Elephas maximus indicus: one gene and its partner. The protein of the gene in region 1 interacts with the protein of each later gene in a biochemical or structural test. Links are inferred from orthologs where the notes say so. Each region holds a gene or a part of one and is shown in the gene's direction. Other genes may lie near its edges. The genes, in order: RPS6KB1 and PDK1.

Region 1 (7,262 bases):
CTAGAAAGAAAAACATCAGAAATAAGAAAGGCAGGAGTGAAGAGTGGTTAAGAGCGTAGATTCTGAAGCCATCCTGCCTGCGTTCACATTCCTGGCTCTGTCACTTTCTAGCTGTTGGTATGATTTTGGACAAGATATTTAACCTCTGAATGCCTCAGTTTCCTCATTTGTTTAAAAACAAACAAACCCATTGCCATTAAGTTGATTCCAACTCATGATGACCCTGAGTTACAGGTAAGACAGGGACAATAATTACACTGGTCTCCGAGAGTTAGAAAGATTAATGATATAATGGAAGTAAAGAACTTAGGAATAGTGCCTTGTACATAATAAGGGCTTAGTAAATGTTGGCTATTATCACACTTCCTTCCTACATCATTTCCTATAGTGAGTTATCTCACCTCCAGTTTACTGATTCTCCTACTAGGCTGACCAACACGAAATTGGCCTATATACAAACTTCTTCCCCATGGAAAAAAAAAAAAACTATTTGAAGGTTGGCAATGGCACCATGAACCCCAATATGAGGTCAAGGTCTGTCCTGCTTTACATACTGTAGCCAGAGGGACTAACTCAGAGTTGGGTTCCTGAGAGGGCATACACAATCATCTTTTTTTGAAATTTTAAAAAACGTGGACACCTAGTTTGTTTGGAAAAGTTTAAGTTAAGTGAATTGTACTCAAGAAAGTATCATGTTGCATAATCACTCCTGAAGCTGTAACTTAACATGTCCAAAGAAAGAGTGAGAATCAATTTCCTACCCACATTTATTTCAACTGGAAAGAATGCAAAATATAAAAATTTCAATTAATACGTTCATACCTCACCGGTTCCATAAGGCCATATAACCTGATTCATTTTAAAAGAGTTTGGGTACTGATCTTGTAAATCCCGGGTAACAAAGGCTCCTAGCCCTGATCCCGTGCCCCCGGCCATACTCATTATGATGAAAAAACCACTCAAAGAGTCACATTTCTCCACTTCCTTCTGAATTAGGTTCATTATAGATTCTTCATGCCTGGGTCCATGAACAGAGTAACTATGCAATGCAAAAGAGACAAACATAAACCCTTTTAAAATTGACCACAGAGATGCAATGCAGAGATAGACACAGGACAGAGCGAGCTTTTCAAAGCTGCGCAAGTGAACTAATTCTCACGAAAGATACAAGTACTCTGACTGGCAGAATTTAAAATACAAAAATATATTTAACAGGTGAATATGACTGCTAGGAGAGGGCACTGACTAGGTACAGGAAATTCTCTTTTATGGGACATTCATTTACCAGGAGCCTTCAATGACCAAGTAGTTCTGTGTAAGTTTCTGGTACAACATAATATCTGATACTCATAACAATAGTCCTAAAGCAGTGGTTTCAAACTTTGCTGCACATTAAAATCACCTGGGGACCTTTGAAAAATCCCAATACCTGGACTTTATCCCAAGCCAATTAAATCAAAATCTCTTGGAGCGAGTCCTAGGCATTGAGACTTTCCAAAGATCCCCAGGAAATTCTAATGTGCAGCAAAGTGCTGGAACTACTGCTTTGTAATATTCTTGCCCAATAAACCAGAATACTCGCCAGATACAGATAATATACTGACAGTAAGTCAGCTGGCAGCACGACAATGAAGAAGGTGGAAAACCTTGGGGCAAGAGATCCTTCATCATTACCTGTACCTGAAGCACAGACACAGAGACTGAATGAGAGTTTCTTCTGGGTGAATTCAAACTTTAAAGTAGCAATTACAAGATTGTTTGCTAGTACAATCTAGAGTATATCAACTCTACAATTGTAACTACATTGTCTATTAATCAACAATGTATCTGTAACTAAACTGCAAAATATGTGGAATTATTCTTACCCATATGCCCAGTTGTTTCCAGAACCTTGTCTTTGACAGAAGCATGCATGCTGACCATATTTCCATCGGCCAGACCGGGCAGCCTTTGATAGTGTTTGATTGATAACTTTAGGTTCCATGTCAACAAGTACAGCCCGGGCAACTAGAACTAGCAAGGGAAAAAAATCGAAAGAAAAAATATTTCAAGGAGGAAATTTTATAGTAGTTAGTGTTGTCAAATCCAGCAGAGAAGTTAAGTGAATTAAGAAAAGAAAAACAGCCATTGAATCTGGTAATTAGGAAACTTTTTCTTAGAGTAGCTTCAGAAGTGGTGAGGGCAGAGCAAGATTGCACTGGGTTAAGGAGGGCTCTCCATTGAGAATCTTGGATAAGAAGGCAAGAAATTAAGAAAGAAGAAAACTTTAGTCAAGGGATTTTTTTTGTCTTGCTTTGTTTTAGACTGGTGAGATCTGAGCGCGCTCATGTGCTGAAGGAAAGATGCCACTGGGAGGCAAAAATTGTCAATAATAGAAACAGATGGGAGAGAGCAAACATAGGTCCCTAGAGAGATGGGGGAGGGATGGGGTTCAGACACCAAGTGGAGGGCTTGGCCTTGAAAAGGCTGGCTACCTCAGACTAAAGGAAAGAACCATGGGCCACACATACCTCCATTTTCCTCCTCACTGAAGAACCTTTCTTTGCAAGACGCTTGATACGCCTCATTCTCCTTCTTGGAGCAGAGTCCCTGGGAACAGTATGAGTCACTAAATAAAGTATCAAACACTTCAAAACCAATCTGATTGCCACACTGACCAAGTTGCACTGTTACTATTGACATGCTGAGCCACAAAGTCCCACCAAAAAAGTGAGCAACCTGTAATAGAAAAATATAGACTTTGAGAACTATTATATTACTAAAAGAACAAATAAAATGCCACATATTAATTACATCTTGATTAAAAAATATAATTTAAAAATGCCATATATGTACAGGGTTGCAGATGAAATTGTTATGTTGTCTAAGGTGCCAGTCATTCAGGAAGTTCTCCTTTTCTTTATGGTTTTGCGATTTGTGATTTACTATACTCAAATACATTCATACACAGCTTCCACAATCTGATTCATACTATTTTCTTCAGCATGCATTTAAGACAAAGCAAAAAGAATGCTGATTGACGGGATTACGTAGTAATACACAGTTCACACCACGTGGACACATAGAACACAGAATTTCTCTCTGCAATCACGCATTTAATTAACAGTAATTTTCCCTCTTCTAAATAATGACTTTCTCTCCCTTCACCAACCTCCTTTCTGGCTTGATAACTACAATTACACTTTGTGACCTCTTGGTTAGCAGCCCAACTCTTAACCACAACGTTCCCTGGGCTCCTTAGCTCCAGTACAGGAAGAAAGCCGGAGCTCGGAGAAAGCAGACCAGATGAAATATTAGAACTGGTTTTCATTATGTTTAATAAACAAAACAGACAATTTTTGATAAAGACCTCACACCAGGTCTATGCAGCAGTGGAAATGAGCCACGGTTTGTGAGCCAGGTTCTGTGCTTCAGATTTTCAAACAATCCTACAAACCAAACCAAACAAAACACACCAAAATCCTACAAAGCAGGCATTATTATCCGCTTTTTACGGATAAGGAAACTGAGGGTCTGGAAAGTTTTGTGATTTCCCAAGACCACCAGACTAGTAAAGAGCAAAACCAAGACTCTCCCTTTCCCCACCGGCCCCAGGAACCCCTCATTAAAATAAACTCACTCACTGACAGCCCCGGTACTAGTCGCTTCTGTCTTCTTCAAACTTCAGAGGGCCAATCCTCTCGTTATGCGCATGCTCGCCTTCAACACTAAACACTGCCAAGAACGAATGCGCATGTTCCACAGACTGAGCGTTTTGGGGGTAAGTGGGGTGGTGGGTGCGTGTGTGTGTTTCTTCTTATTCAGAAAGGTTAATTACGCATGTTTAATTTCAATTTATCAACATCAGATATGGTACGCATGCTCGCTGTCCATCAAAAGCTTGAGCTGACAATGCGCATGATCTAGCCTCCAACCGAGGCTTCGGCTGGCATTCTGCGCATGTCTCTCCCAGGACCTTGATCCTGGCAATAATTCTACGCATGTCCACTGCCCACAGTTCGGCTTCATGGGACCCAGTACGCATGCTCTAGCGCTGAACTTGAGGAGCCAGTCTACGGCCTAGGCGCAGTCGCACTAAGCCTAAGCGGCCGGTGATGGCGGCAGCGGCGGCAGTGGTTGCGGCGGGTCCGGGCCCATGAGGCGACGACGGAGGCGGGACGGCTTTTACCCAGCGCCGGACGTCCGAGACAGGGAAGCTGAGGACATGGCAGGAGTGTTTGACATAGACCTGGACCAGCCAGAGGACGCGGGCTCTGAGGATGAGCTGGAGGAGGGGGTGAGGCCCGGGGTCCCGGGGGGCCCGAGGTGACAGGGCTGGGGCGGCGGCTAGGGCCCGGGAAGCCAGGCGTGTCTGAGAGCGCGGAGACCCAGGGGGGCGCGAGTAGTCTTCGGGAAGGGCTGGGAGGCGCCCCGCGCGGCGGAGGTGGCCCTAGGTGTGAGGCCGCTGCGGGGCTCGCAGGTGCAGGTCACTCCCCCAGCTCCAGATCAGCGCTGTCCCGAGCAGTCTGTTTGTGGAGGGAACGAGGAAGGATGCGTGATCAGTTCCTCGAGCTGTGGCACTTGTGTGTGGTGGGACGCGGGTGGTGTGAGCGTGTGTTGGGGGGAGGGAGGCTGGCTTGTTAGGTGTCCCGTAAAGTGCAGGCGAAGTGCGGAAGGGTTTCCCTTCAAGTGTAAAATTTCAGGTATTAAATCCTCAGATCTCCCACAACTACCTCTCTTCTCGGCCTGTCGCTTCTCTCCTAGGAAGCGCTCAGCTGTTAGAAGTGACAGCTGAAAACTTCTGTCGGGAGTAGCGCTGCCGCTGCTGTTACAGCCACCAGGAGTTTTATTTCTGGAGCAAGGGGGCTCAGCTGCATCTTCCAGGGTTTGTTTGTTTGCTTTTTTTTTTTAACCCCCTTCCGTGTGATTTTTTATAAAAGCATTTGTAACGACACACGGCATTTGTAATTAACTTTTCTTCTAGATGAAGATGTCTCTCTTTTTCGAAATATATTTATGTAATTTTGGGGTGGAAAAAACCCACTGTTGACAGCTGTGATTTGGCTTGCCAAAAATAAATTGCTTGAATTGAGACTTGTGAATGGTGGTGTGAGGGCTTTCCTTGCTGTAATTTAGGATGCTGAATTTAGAATTTTTTTTCTAATGCATAGCTTGGTTTTACCTTTAACAGTTTGTTATTTATGAAAGATCATTCTTTCTTCAAGATGAATTTGTTGAAAAATCACAAATTGCACCTGATGTTCAAAAATGATGTTGTCATACTAAATCACTTATCCTGGGCTAATGGCATCAGCATAACCTCAGTGTAATTTAGGTTCTAAATTCCACTGTCTAATGAGTACATGGGTTAATGACTCGTGTCATACGTTTGCTCTAACTACATAAGGGGCTCCCCTTTTCTTTCCCCACGTACAATTTTCCTGCTATGGCAATAAATTGCACCCTGCTTGTTAAAAGATTTCAATGCTACATATATAAAGAACTTAAGCAACTAAGTGGGCTAAAATAATAATAACTATTCTTTTCATGATCAAATGAGTCTAAATCAAAATCACACAGTTTAGAATGTGGATAAGAGGTATGTGCTTTTTAAACTGCTATGTCTGAGTATGGGATTCCGTTACTCTCTTAAATGAACACCATGGTACACTAAATAACAATTTGAAACAAATAGGGGATTACTTTCTTAATACAGGTAATTCTGCATCTTTTTATGTTTTTTTCTGCTCCAACTTCCATTACATGCACCATACTGTCATCAGTTATAGTATTTCCATATGGCAATGATTTTGGGCCAGGGTAGGGAGAAAACGAGATAGGAAGGGTGCTTTATATTTTTGTGAGTTAAAATGATATAATTTCCAAACTATGAGTTTATCCTCCTTTGAAAATACACCACTATATTAAGACACTTGTTATGAACTGGGACCCCCTTGGTATGTGCTTCAGAAACAGTGTGTAGTCCAGTTTTGACCTTCTCCTGGGCTTTTGTTTTGCTTCCTACAAGCAAAGTAGGATTTTGAGAGGATGTGGTGGAGATGGCCTGAGAAATTGGTAGATACAGGAAAGAGCAAGAAGTGTGGTAACTACCTGGGAAGAGGATAGAGCCAACCAAACCAGTTGCCATGGAGTCCACTTTGAGTAAACTCAGACTTGTGGTGACTCTATGCGTGTCGGAGTAGAACTGTGCTCCATAGGGTTTTCAGTGGCTGACTCTTTGGAAGTACCATGTTTTTATGCAGATAACATGTGCCTTCTATGTTTGTTTGCCAAGCACTCCCTCCCCCCACAAGATATTTTCATAAGAGCCTCTATGCTGATTTTTTAAACATGTTTCTGTAAAAAATTAGCATAGCACACTTATGAAAATAACCTGGGTCAGGGGGGAAGTGGTTGGGAAACAAACTACAAGGTGCATGTTATTTGCATAAGAGTATGGCAGGTCACCAGCCATTTCTTCTGAGGCATCTTTGGATAGTCTGAAAACTCCAGCCTTTTGGTTAGCAGCAGAGCTTGTTAACCATTTGCACCACCCCGGGGCTTTGAGGAATAACCTTAAGTAAAATACGTCTTACTTATCAATGCTTTGGGAGTTGAAATTGTTTCTTTTGGGTGTGTTATTCTAAGAGGTGCCTCAAGGTAGACAAAGTTGGGGTGGGATTGGGGTGGCAACCCAAGGAGAATTGCTTACGTCCAGGTTACTCGAAATAAAAAAAAAAATTCTGAAGAATAATAAAAGTTTAGTTTCTAGGAAAATGTAATATTTTCCAGCCATTTATGTAATAGCTATTAGTTTATTACACAGACTTTTTTAACAATGTGTATCAGAGTAACCTAATCTCTTGATTTTATAGTAAGGAAACTGAGGCATAGGTCAGAGAGATGATTCCCCAAGATCACATAGCTAGTGGTAGTGTCTTCTGACTCAGTTCAGCAAGCTTCATTGCACAACTTCACTTTATTTACCAGTCTTGATCATAATGTGCATCTTTGTGGTGTGGCAGAAGTGAGTTAAAAATCACTTCTACTACCCTCCCTATGTGACTTAAAATAAGTTGCTTAACCTCACTGATGGAGCCCTAGTGGCACAGTGGTTAAGAACTTGCCTGCTAACCAAAAGGTTGGCAGTTTGAACCCACCAGTCACTCCTTGGAAACCCTATGGGGCAGTTCTACTCTGTTCTGTAGGGTTACTGTGAGTCAGAATTGACAGCAACAGGTTTGGTTTGATTTTTAACCTCACTGTCACTTTCTTCTTCTCTA
Region 2 (8,163 bases), on another chromosome or scaffold:
CGTCCTGAACCGCATGAAGCCAGAGGGTGAGCACACAGAGTGACACCATCCAACCTCCTGGGGCACAGACTCGGGCAAAGAAGAGAAGAGAATGTACTGATTTAGGAAATAACATTGGAGTCATTATTCTCTCCTTCAGCATAGAGAATGTGACCCAGCTAGAGCTGGATTCACAAGGACTCACAAGGAAACATCAACTGGGCCCTGAGATACAAAGACAATAGCTAGGACAATCTTGGAAAATATCTTTTAGTGAAACTTTCACAAAAACCAATCAAACAGAACACAAAAGACTTCCATTCTTATCTTTTTCTATTAGCATTTAGTGAATAGAAAATTTGTTGGACCAGTGAAGACCCTCCTGACTGTCATTACTGAAACCTGTAAATTAAGAAAGATGATTCAAAATGTAGAATCACGTTGATCTAGCAGTTTTTAGCGAATCGGTGAAAAGGGAAATGTTCAATGATTTTACCAACTTGTGATGTTAATATATGCTGATGATTCTGTAACATTGGGGCAGATGTGGCTCTGGCAGCATGCTAGTCTGTCCTCCCACTTCTGCTTATTCTGTGACCTTACTTGGATTTGGGCAGACATTAGCTCTGGCAGCATGCTTGTTCCCTTCCCACTTTTGCCTTTTTGAATATATGTTGAATAGAACTTTCTTTTTTGTTTTACTAAACTTTGTGATTTTTTTTTCCTACAACAGTATCTAGAGGGGCAAATAGAGAGCAGCCAGCACAGCTAGCATAGACTCCTTGCTGTATCTAGTGTTAAAGAGAGGAACTGATAGCAGGTATCTTGCTTTGATTTTGAGGTTTTCTTTCTCACAAAGGAAACCCTCGTGGCGTAGTGGTTAAGTGCTACAGCTGCTAACCCAAGGGTCGGCAGTTCAAATCTGCCAGGCACTCCTTGGAAACTCTACGGGGCAGTTCTACTCTGTCCTATAGGGTCGCTATGAGTCGGAATCGACTCGATGGCACTAGGTTTTTGGTTTTTACTCACAAAACCAAATATTCACTTTAAAGAAATTCCTGACCAAAGTTAATTTGCCAGCAGCCTTTCTTTTACCCAGAGTTGCAAATCCTTCTTTCCTGTTCAAAGAAGCCAGGCTTACTAAACTTGAATTTCAAAAGACATGGGTGGGTGGAAGGGCAGAGACTATCTTGTGAACCATACCAACTGATCTCAGTAAAAGGAGGAGGGCAGGGTTCAACCAGTCACGTTAAGATTAGCAAATGGTTGATCTGCTATGTATTTTTTTCTCTCTCCTATTCTATTTATAAGCCTCATTGTACTTTAAGCCGTTTGCTTTTTCTGGAATCAAAATTGTCTCTCTATAAAACCAAAGCCAAACCTCTTGTCGTCAAGTCAAGTCCGACTCATAGCGACCCTTTAGGACAGAGTAGAGCTGCCCCATAGGGTTTCCAAGGGGTGGCTGGTGGATTTCAACTGCTGACCTTTTGGTTAGCAGCCATAGCTCTTGACCACTGCACCACTGGGGCTCTGGTCCTCCTATACGCATATTGAATAACTGCTCAGGATAAACTTTATGTTCAAATTCTGTTGAGTTTCGATTATTTTTAACACTAGCTTGTTCTCCATTGCTTTTCTTACTTTTTTTGGTCAGACCGGCCCAACATGGATCATGAATTCTCAGTGAATTTAGAGGTCTGGCTCAAGTATGCTATATAAAGACGCCTTTATAGAGCCTGAGAAACAGAGTTTTTAATTCTCCTGAAATCCAGATTTCTGGGGTTGGGGGAGTTGGGGTGTGTCGTAGGGAAAAAACATCAGTAAGTTTAGTAAAGGAAAAAGAAAGTTTTATTCAATATATATTCAAAAAGGCAAAAGTGGGAAGTGGACAAGCATGCTGCCCGAGTCCAAGGAAATATTACAGAATAAGCAAGAATGCTCCTTAGAAGCAAGGATGGCAAGACTGTGTCTTACATACTTTGGACATGTTGTCAGGAGGGATCTGTCCCTGGGGAAGGACATCATGCTTGGTAAAATACAGGGTCAGCGAAAAAGAGGAAGACCCTCAATGAGGTGGATTGACACAGTGGCTGCAACAATGGGCTCAGGCATAATGACGATTTTAAGGATGGCTCAGGACCAGGCAGCATTTCGTTCTGCTGTGCATAGGATTGCTATGAGTCAGAACCGACTAGACGGCACCTAACAAGAACAAGAAGCAAGAATAGAAAAAGACAAGCATGCTGCCAGAGGGACTACATAGGATTATATACATCCCTACAGAAGCAGACTGTCACATCTTTCTTCTGCAGAGCTGCTCATGGTTTCGAGTCGCCAACCTTTCAGTTAACAGCCAATTGCTTTAACCACTTCGCCACCAGAGCTGTCAAATTACATCATCGCAAAACTGCTAAACCACTGAGAATCATAGCCCAGCCAAGGTGATACATAACCTTAACCATCACAGCCAGGGTTACTCTTACCTAACACCTCAGCATTTGTTACTGCCAAACGTATGTCGTTAACATGTAAAATAGTTGGATAGTAGATTTATTACTAGTGTTATGAATGTGAAATGCTGGATAACGAGATAATAAGTGAGGGGTAGGTGTAAGCTTCAAATCAATTTATATTATTGGCTTAATATTATTTGATTTAACAAGCCTTAGAATATGATTATACTTTATATCTACATAGTTAAATAATATATCCATTTAGTAAAATTGTCCATGGTTCTCTCCAACTTCTGGACTCTAAGCCTTTGACCAAGAAGCAAATAGTTGATGCCATTCTATACACGTATGTATCTACTCATTCTCTGCATATTGGGTGGAAACTCTGTGAATATATTTGGAGAAAAGAAAAAATACTTCATAAAACAACTGATTTACTAAAATAAATCTCAAGTTTTCTGTTGGGCTTTCATACTTCCACCCAAGTCACTGTTCAGCTGAGCACCTTGACATGTGTAGACTGTAGCAGAGATGCGAATAGAGGATGAAGGAGATGAATAATGCTGTACATAGCATTTATTGGGGAATAGAACAGCTATAGCTGGGCAGCACTAGATAAAAATACCAAGTGCTCTGAGGTACAAGCAGAGAGAGGGGTCTATATAGAGAGAGAACAAAGGAAAGGCAGTGGGTTAATGATTGATAAAATCAGCTTGGGTTTGAACTCCTTTAAAATGTAAATGTTGGCCACTTGGCTAGGAAGGGGTGGGTTACCACCTGGGTAAGTGGCACCAGCCAGTTTGATTATACACATTCTTCCTAGGAACAAATTGTTTACATCCTGACACACTCTTCCTATATGGTTTACATCCTGACCTTTTGTTTCCTGAGAAGGCACCTTGGCCCCATCATTCTTGGTCTGACATGAGCGCCTCCAGTTGGAAACTTTTCAGTTTACAAAGTGCTTTTTGCAGCCCATCCCAGCAACTACCTAGACTTTAGTTTCCAAGTGGTCAGTGTTTCCCCTTCAAACTAAACAGTTTGCCTGACTAATGAAGCCTAAAAAAGAATTTCATTCTTTCTACTCATAATATTTTTATACAACCCAAGACCTGGCCACCATACAAAATTGTTATCCTATACCAGTAACTGCTGGGCTTACATATATTCTTTATTTGATAAATTTCACACCCACCATTAAGTAATTTTTTTGCATCTGAGCCATACAAGGAAATCCCTGGATAGAGCAAATGGTTAAGTGCTTGACTACTAGCTGAAAGGTTGGCAGTTTGAACCTACCCGGAGGTGCCTTGGAAGACAGGCCTGGCAACTGCTTCCGAAAGGCCACAGCCTTGAAAATCCTATGAAGCAGTTGTACTCTTTGCTTATGGGGTTGCCATGAGTAGGAATCTACTCAAAGGCAACTAACGACAGACAAGACTTACCAAAGCACTGGGGCTGGGTACATGGGGGGAGCAGCATGTAGGACATATGGAAGGGACAGAAGTGGTTTTCACTATAGACTGTAGCCTTTGCAGCTCTGCCTTTGGGACTAATCAATATTAGAAATTGTCTTGTCCTGTGTTCACAACTTGGACCCCTGGCAGCACAGTGGTTAAGAGCTCAGCTGCTAAACAAAAGGTCGGTGGTTCTATTCCACCAGCCGCTCCTTGGAAACTCTATGAGGCAGTTCTACTCTGTCCTATAGGGTCCCTACGGGTCAGAATCGACTTGACACCAACAGGTTTGGTTTTTAGGTCTTGTTCACTATTTAGAGGCCTGCCTGGAAGAAGTAGAGAGCCAGACTGTGTCCCTTAGCTAGTTAAAAGAGCAGGGCAGTTAAAGAAGAGGGATCCTTTAAACACATTGCTGACCATGCCAGGAATGCCTGCAGATAAAGCTTCCAGGTGGGCTGATCTCCTAGCACTGAAGTCGCTGTGATATTACTTAGGGCCACATCCCGCAGTGCTTATATACTATGGTTTGGCAAGGGTCGGCTCCTGAAGCTTTCTGGGTCTGTTTCTTCACCTATAAAATGTAGCGCTTGCAGCAGCGATAATGGTGCGTGAAAGGGGAGCGATGCTCTCTTCTCGAGCATTTTGGCTGCGGCTGGGAAGGCAGAGACAGCAAGAAGGTGGGATTTGTTACAAAAGGGCGTGGGAAGGGGCGCACAACACCGTAAGTCAAGCGCCACGGCGACAGGCAGGCCTTCCGGCCTGGCGAATGAGAGGGGCCAGGGACCTGGCGAGGCTCCCGCCTCAGGCCTTAGTCCTCACGCGCGCCGGGTCCCTGCGGCCGGCCCAGCCCGGAGGAACCCGCCGCGGGCCGGGAAGCGGGCCGCCCTCGCGCGCGCCCTCCCTGCCTCCCTAGCTCACGGAGTCCGCCCCACAGGCAGGGGGCCGGGCTTCGGCGCAGGGGCGGTGCTTGCGCGCGCCCTCCCCGCCTATCTCCCCGCCTCCCTCGCTCACTGGTTCCCGCCCCGCGGGGCAGGGGGCTGGGCTCCGGCGAGGGGGCGGTGGCCGCGGAGGTGACAGCCGCTCCCCACCCCAGCAGCCCGCCACGTCCCTCACGTAGCGCGGGGCTGAGCTGCAGAGCCGCGACCTGGCGCCCAGGACTGCCGCTCCTCCAGCCGGCTCGGCATGCAGCTGGCGCGGCTGCTGCGGGGCGCCGCCTCGGCCGGGCCGGGACCCGGGCTGCGCGCCTCCCGGCCCAGAGCCAGCCGCAGCCTCACCTCGGACTCGGGCTCTGGCCCTGCTGCCGAAAGCAGCGTTCCGGGCCAAGTGGACTTCTATGCGCGCTTCTCGCCGTCCCCACTCTCCATGAAGCAGTTCCTAGACTTCGGTGAGTGCGGCCCGGGCCTCCGGCCTTTGTGCGCCGCCGGGGGCGGGGAGCTGCCACCCCTGACCCCCTCTCGCCTTAGGCACACCCGTCCTCTGTCGTTTTCTCCCCTAGCGGAACCTTGGACGCTTCCTTCCTCCCTCGCGGAGCCGTAAGCTCAGGTGCAGGCCCTTGCTGCCCGGGTAAATAACTGGGGGTGTGTGGCTTTTACTGTGTATCGTTGAAAAACAAACCAGAAGGACCAAAGGCGGAATGACCTCCCGCCTTTCAGCGCAAGTGTACAGATGTGCGTACTGGGCCAGGCTTTTTCCGAAGAGCTGAGCTGCGGGGAGAGGCGAGTGCACGGACACCCCGGGAATCGTGTACGAAATCTGCAGAGCACCATACATGCTCAGTTTTGCATATGTGACTGCGTAAAATTAGCGTGATGATAGGGAATGCAGGTTATATAACTGGCCCTGTGTTTCATAAAATGTTTTTTTCAACAGTGTCTTAGGAGTGTTTCCACGAACAGCAGATTCATTTAATCAGCAATAAATAAGCCTTGAGCACGTGTAAAGTGCGTGAGTACAAGATGCAGTGGGGTTTACCACATATCACTCCTGTGAAAGCGACCCTGCTCAGATGGACGCTTTCTTATTTTCTCTAGAAAACATACAACAGATAGAGGAAGGAACTGCAAACTTAGGCATTTAACGTTTGACTTTCCTTTTGGGGGCAATGAACGTGGGTAGAAAAAAGTTGTGCACTGTGAGTACTGTTAGGTCACTGACCTATCACTAGAGGGCTTGAAAGATACTAGCAGGGCTGGCAACTTTATCTTAACAAACAAACAAACCAACCCATTGCCTCAATTCTGACTCATAGTGACCCTGTAGGACAGAACAGAATTGCCCCATAGGGTTACCGGGGCTGTAAATCTTTACGGAAGCAGACTGCCACATCTTTCTCCCTCAGAGTGGATGGTGGACGGAATCCAGGATATTTTGGTTAGTAGCTGAGTGCTTTAACCACTGTGCCACCAGGGCACCTTTATCTTAAAACTGGTTTACAGTGGCAGGCTTTTTAAGCTCAAAGCCCTTTGTTTTGTTTTTACTTTAAAATGGCACTAGTATGCTTAATGGGTGAATTTGACCTTGTTCACAAGTATGTGTTTACACTTGCCACAAGAAAATGTTTTCCTTTAATACCATAATTGCCATCTCCAATCTAGTTTTTGCTAAGGGTACCCCTGCTGAAAGAGCAAAATTAAATTAGTGAGTTGAAGTGTATTATTGAAAGAATATGACTTTTCAGTTGACTTTAAATGGAGTTGCTTGCCCAAGGACGCTCTACAGATGTTCTGCTTAGAATCCTGATATGTGAATGGAAAAGGGCAGTCTGCTCTGCAGGAACCTGACAATTGAATTAGACCTGCTGGAGATTAGGTAGCTACAATCTTGAAAATGGTTGCTGAATAGGCCTTGATGTTTTTTGCTTTCTGTTACTTGAAAGGCCCTCTACCTTTACTCTCTGCTTGTGGTGATTTTGTTGTTTGATGTCGAGTGGATTCTCACTCATAGGGACCTTATAGGACAGAGTAGAATTGCCCCATAGGGTTTCCAAAGAGTGACAAGTGGATTTGAACTGCCAACCTTTTGGTTAGGAGCCATAGCTCTTAACCACTGTGCCACAACCTGGGAAACCCTATGGGGCAGTTCTACTCTGTCCTGTAGGGTAGCTATGAGCCAGAATTGACTCGACAGCAATTGTTTTTTTTAAACCTTTTTGGGAGTCAGGTCTTTTCTCTCGTGGACCTGCTGGTGGATTCAAACTGCCAACCTTTTGGTTAGCAGTTGAGCATTTAACCATTGTGCCAATAGAGGGGCTCCTTGGTGATTAATATAGGGGTTCCATATGGAAATGAATGAATCTTCCTATGCACATGTCAAAATTTTCTGGTTTCTTAGACATTTATTCACTTTTTATAAACCTGGAGTTAGGAAGCAGATTTTCAAAATGATAGCAGGTTATATAGGCTAGGCTTTTTGATGTTCTACTGTTAATTAGACTGAGCCTTGCTCAGACTTGCAATGGTTAGGGAGATATTTTAAGGATGCTCAAGAAGTAAAAGCAACAGGAAAGTGTCTTAATTGCTCTGTAGAGGCATTGGAATTCCAGAATTTGGAAGGTTCTTCTGGATACCTCAGAACTCTAAGGGCTATTATCTTCTCTCCCTGCCTCCCCCTCCACCCCAGCAATGGGTACCTTTTGCCTCCTATTCTGTGCCCTATCATTATGATGATTCTGCCTCTCGGGCCCTGCCAGATAACTTCCTCTTTCTTTCTGCCCGCCTTGTGGCTTCAGCTGCCTGTTTTGACTTACTGCTTTTCCTACCATGTTTGGTTTCAGGATCTGTGGATGCTTGTGAAAAGACCTCATTTATGTTTCTGCGGCAAGAGTTGCCTGTTAGATTGGCAAACATAATGAAAGAAATAAGTCTCCTTCCAGATAATCTTCTCAGGACGCCATCAGTTCAATTAGTACAAAGCTGGTAAGAGTCCCATCTTGTGTTTGCAATTTCGATGGAATTGTGGGCTTTACTCAGCTTTAAAGCCAATGCTTTTTTACTCTACCAGTTGCCATCAAGTCAACTCTGACACACGGTGACCCCATGTGTGTCGGAGTAGAACCTGTGGTCCATGGGATTTTCAATGACTGATTTTTCTGAAGTAGATTGCCTGGCCTTTCTTCTGGGATGCCTCTGGGTGGACTCAAACACCTAACCTTTTGGTTAGCAGCTGAGTGTATTAGCCCTTTGCACCACCCAGGAACTCCTGAGTTTAAGTCATGGATTTGTCACTTCTTAGCGTGACCTGGGTATATTACACTGCTCTCTAGCCTCAGTTTCCTC

The links.
Region 2: the proteins of RPS6KB1 (region 1) and PDK1 form a complex in vitro, tested with the Homo sapiens proteins (2 studies listed by BioGRID and IntAct, with this or other methods). The link is inferred for Elephas maximus indicus from reciprocal best matches to the Homo sapiens genes RPS6KB1 and PDK1.

The regions. Positions count from the first base shown.
Region 1 is NC_064837.1:34,232,617-34,239,878, reverse strand, and holds the start of RPS6KB1 (ribosomal protein S6 kinase beta-1), read left to right. Parts: upstream 1-4,030; 5' UTR 4,031-4,135; coding exon 4,136-4,276; intron 4,277-4,760; exon of another isoform or gene 4,761-4,864; intron 4,865-7,262. Other genes in the region: TUBD1 (tubulin delta chain), read right to left, coding at 823-1,039, 1,866-2,013, 2,511-2,682. UniProt on the Homo sapiens protein: Serine/threonine-protein kinase that acts downstream of mTOR signaling in response to growth factors and nutrients to promote cell proliferation, cell growth and cell cycle progression.
Region 2 is NC_064824.1:70,684,776-70,692,938, forward strand, and holds the start of PDK1 (pyruvate dehydrogenase (acetyl-transferring) kinase isozyme 1, mitochondrial), read left to right. Parts: upstream 1-4,976; 5' UTR 4,977-5,071; coding exon 5,072-5,273; intron 5,274-7,661; coding exon 7,662-7,803; intron 7,804-8,163. UniProt on the Homo sapiens protein: Kinase that plays a key role in regulation of glucose and fatty acid metabolism and homeostasis via phosphorylation of the pyruvate dehydrogenase subunits PDHA1 and PDHA2.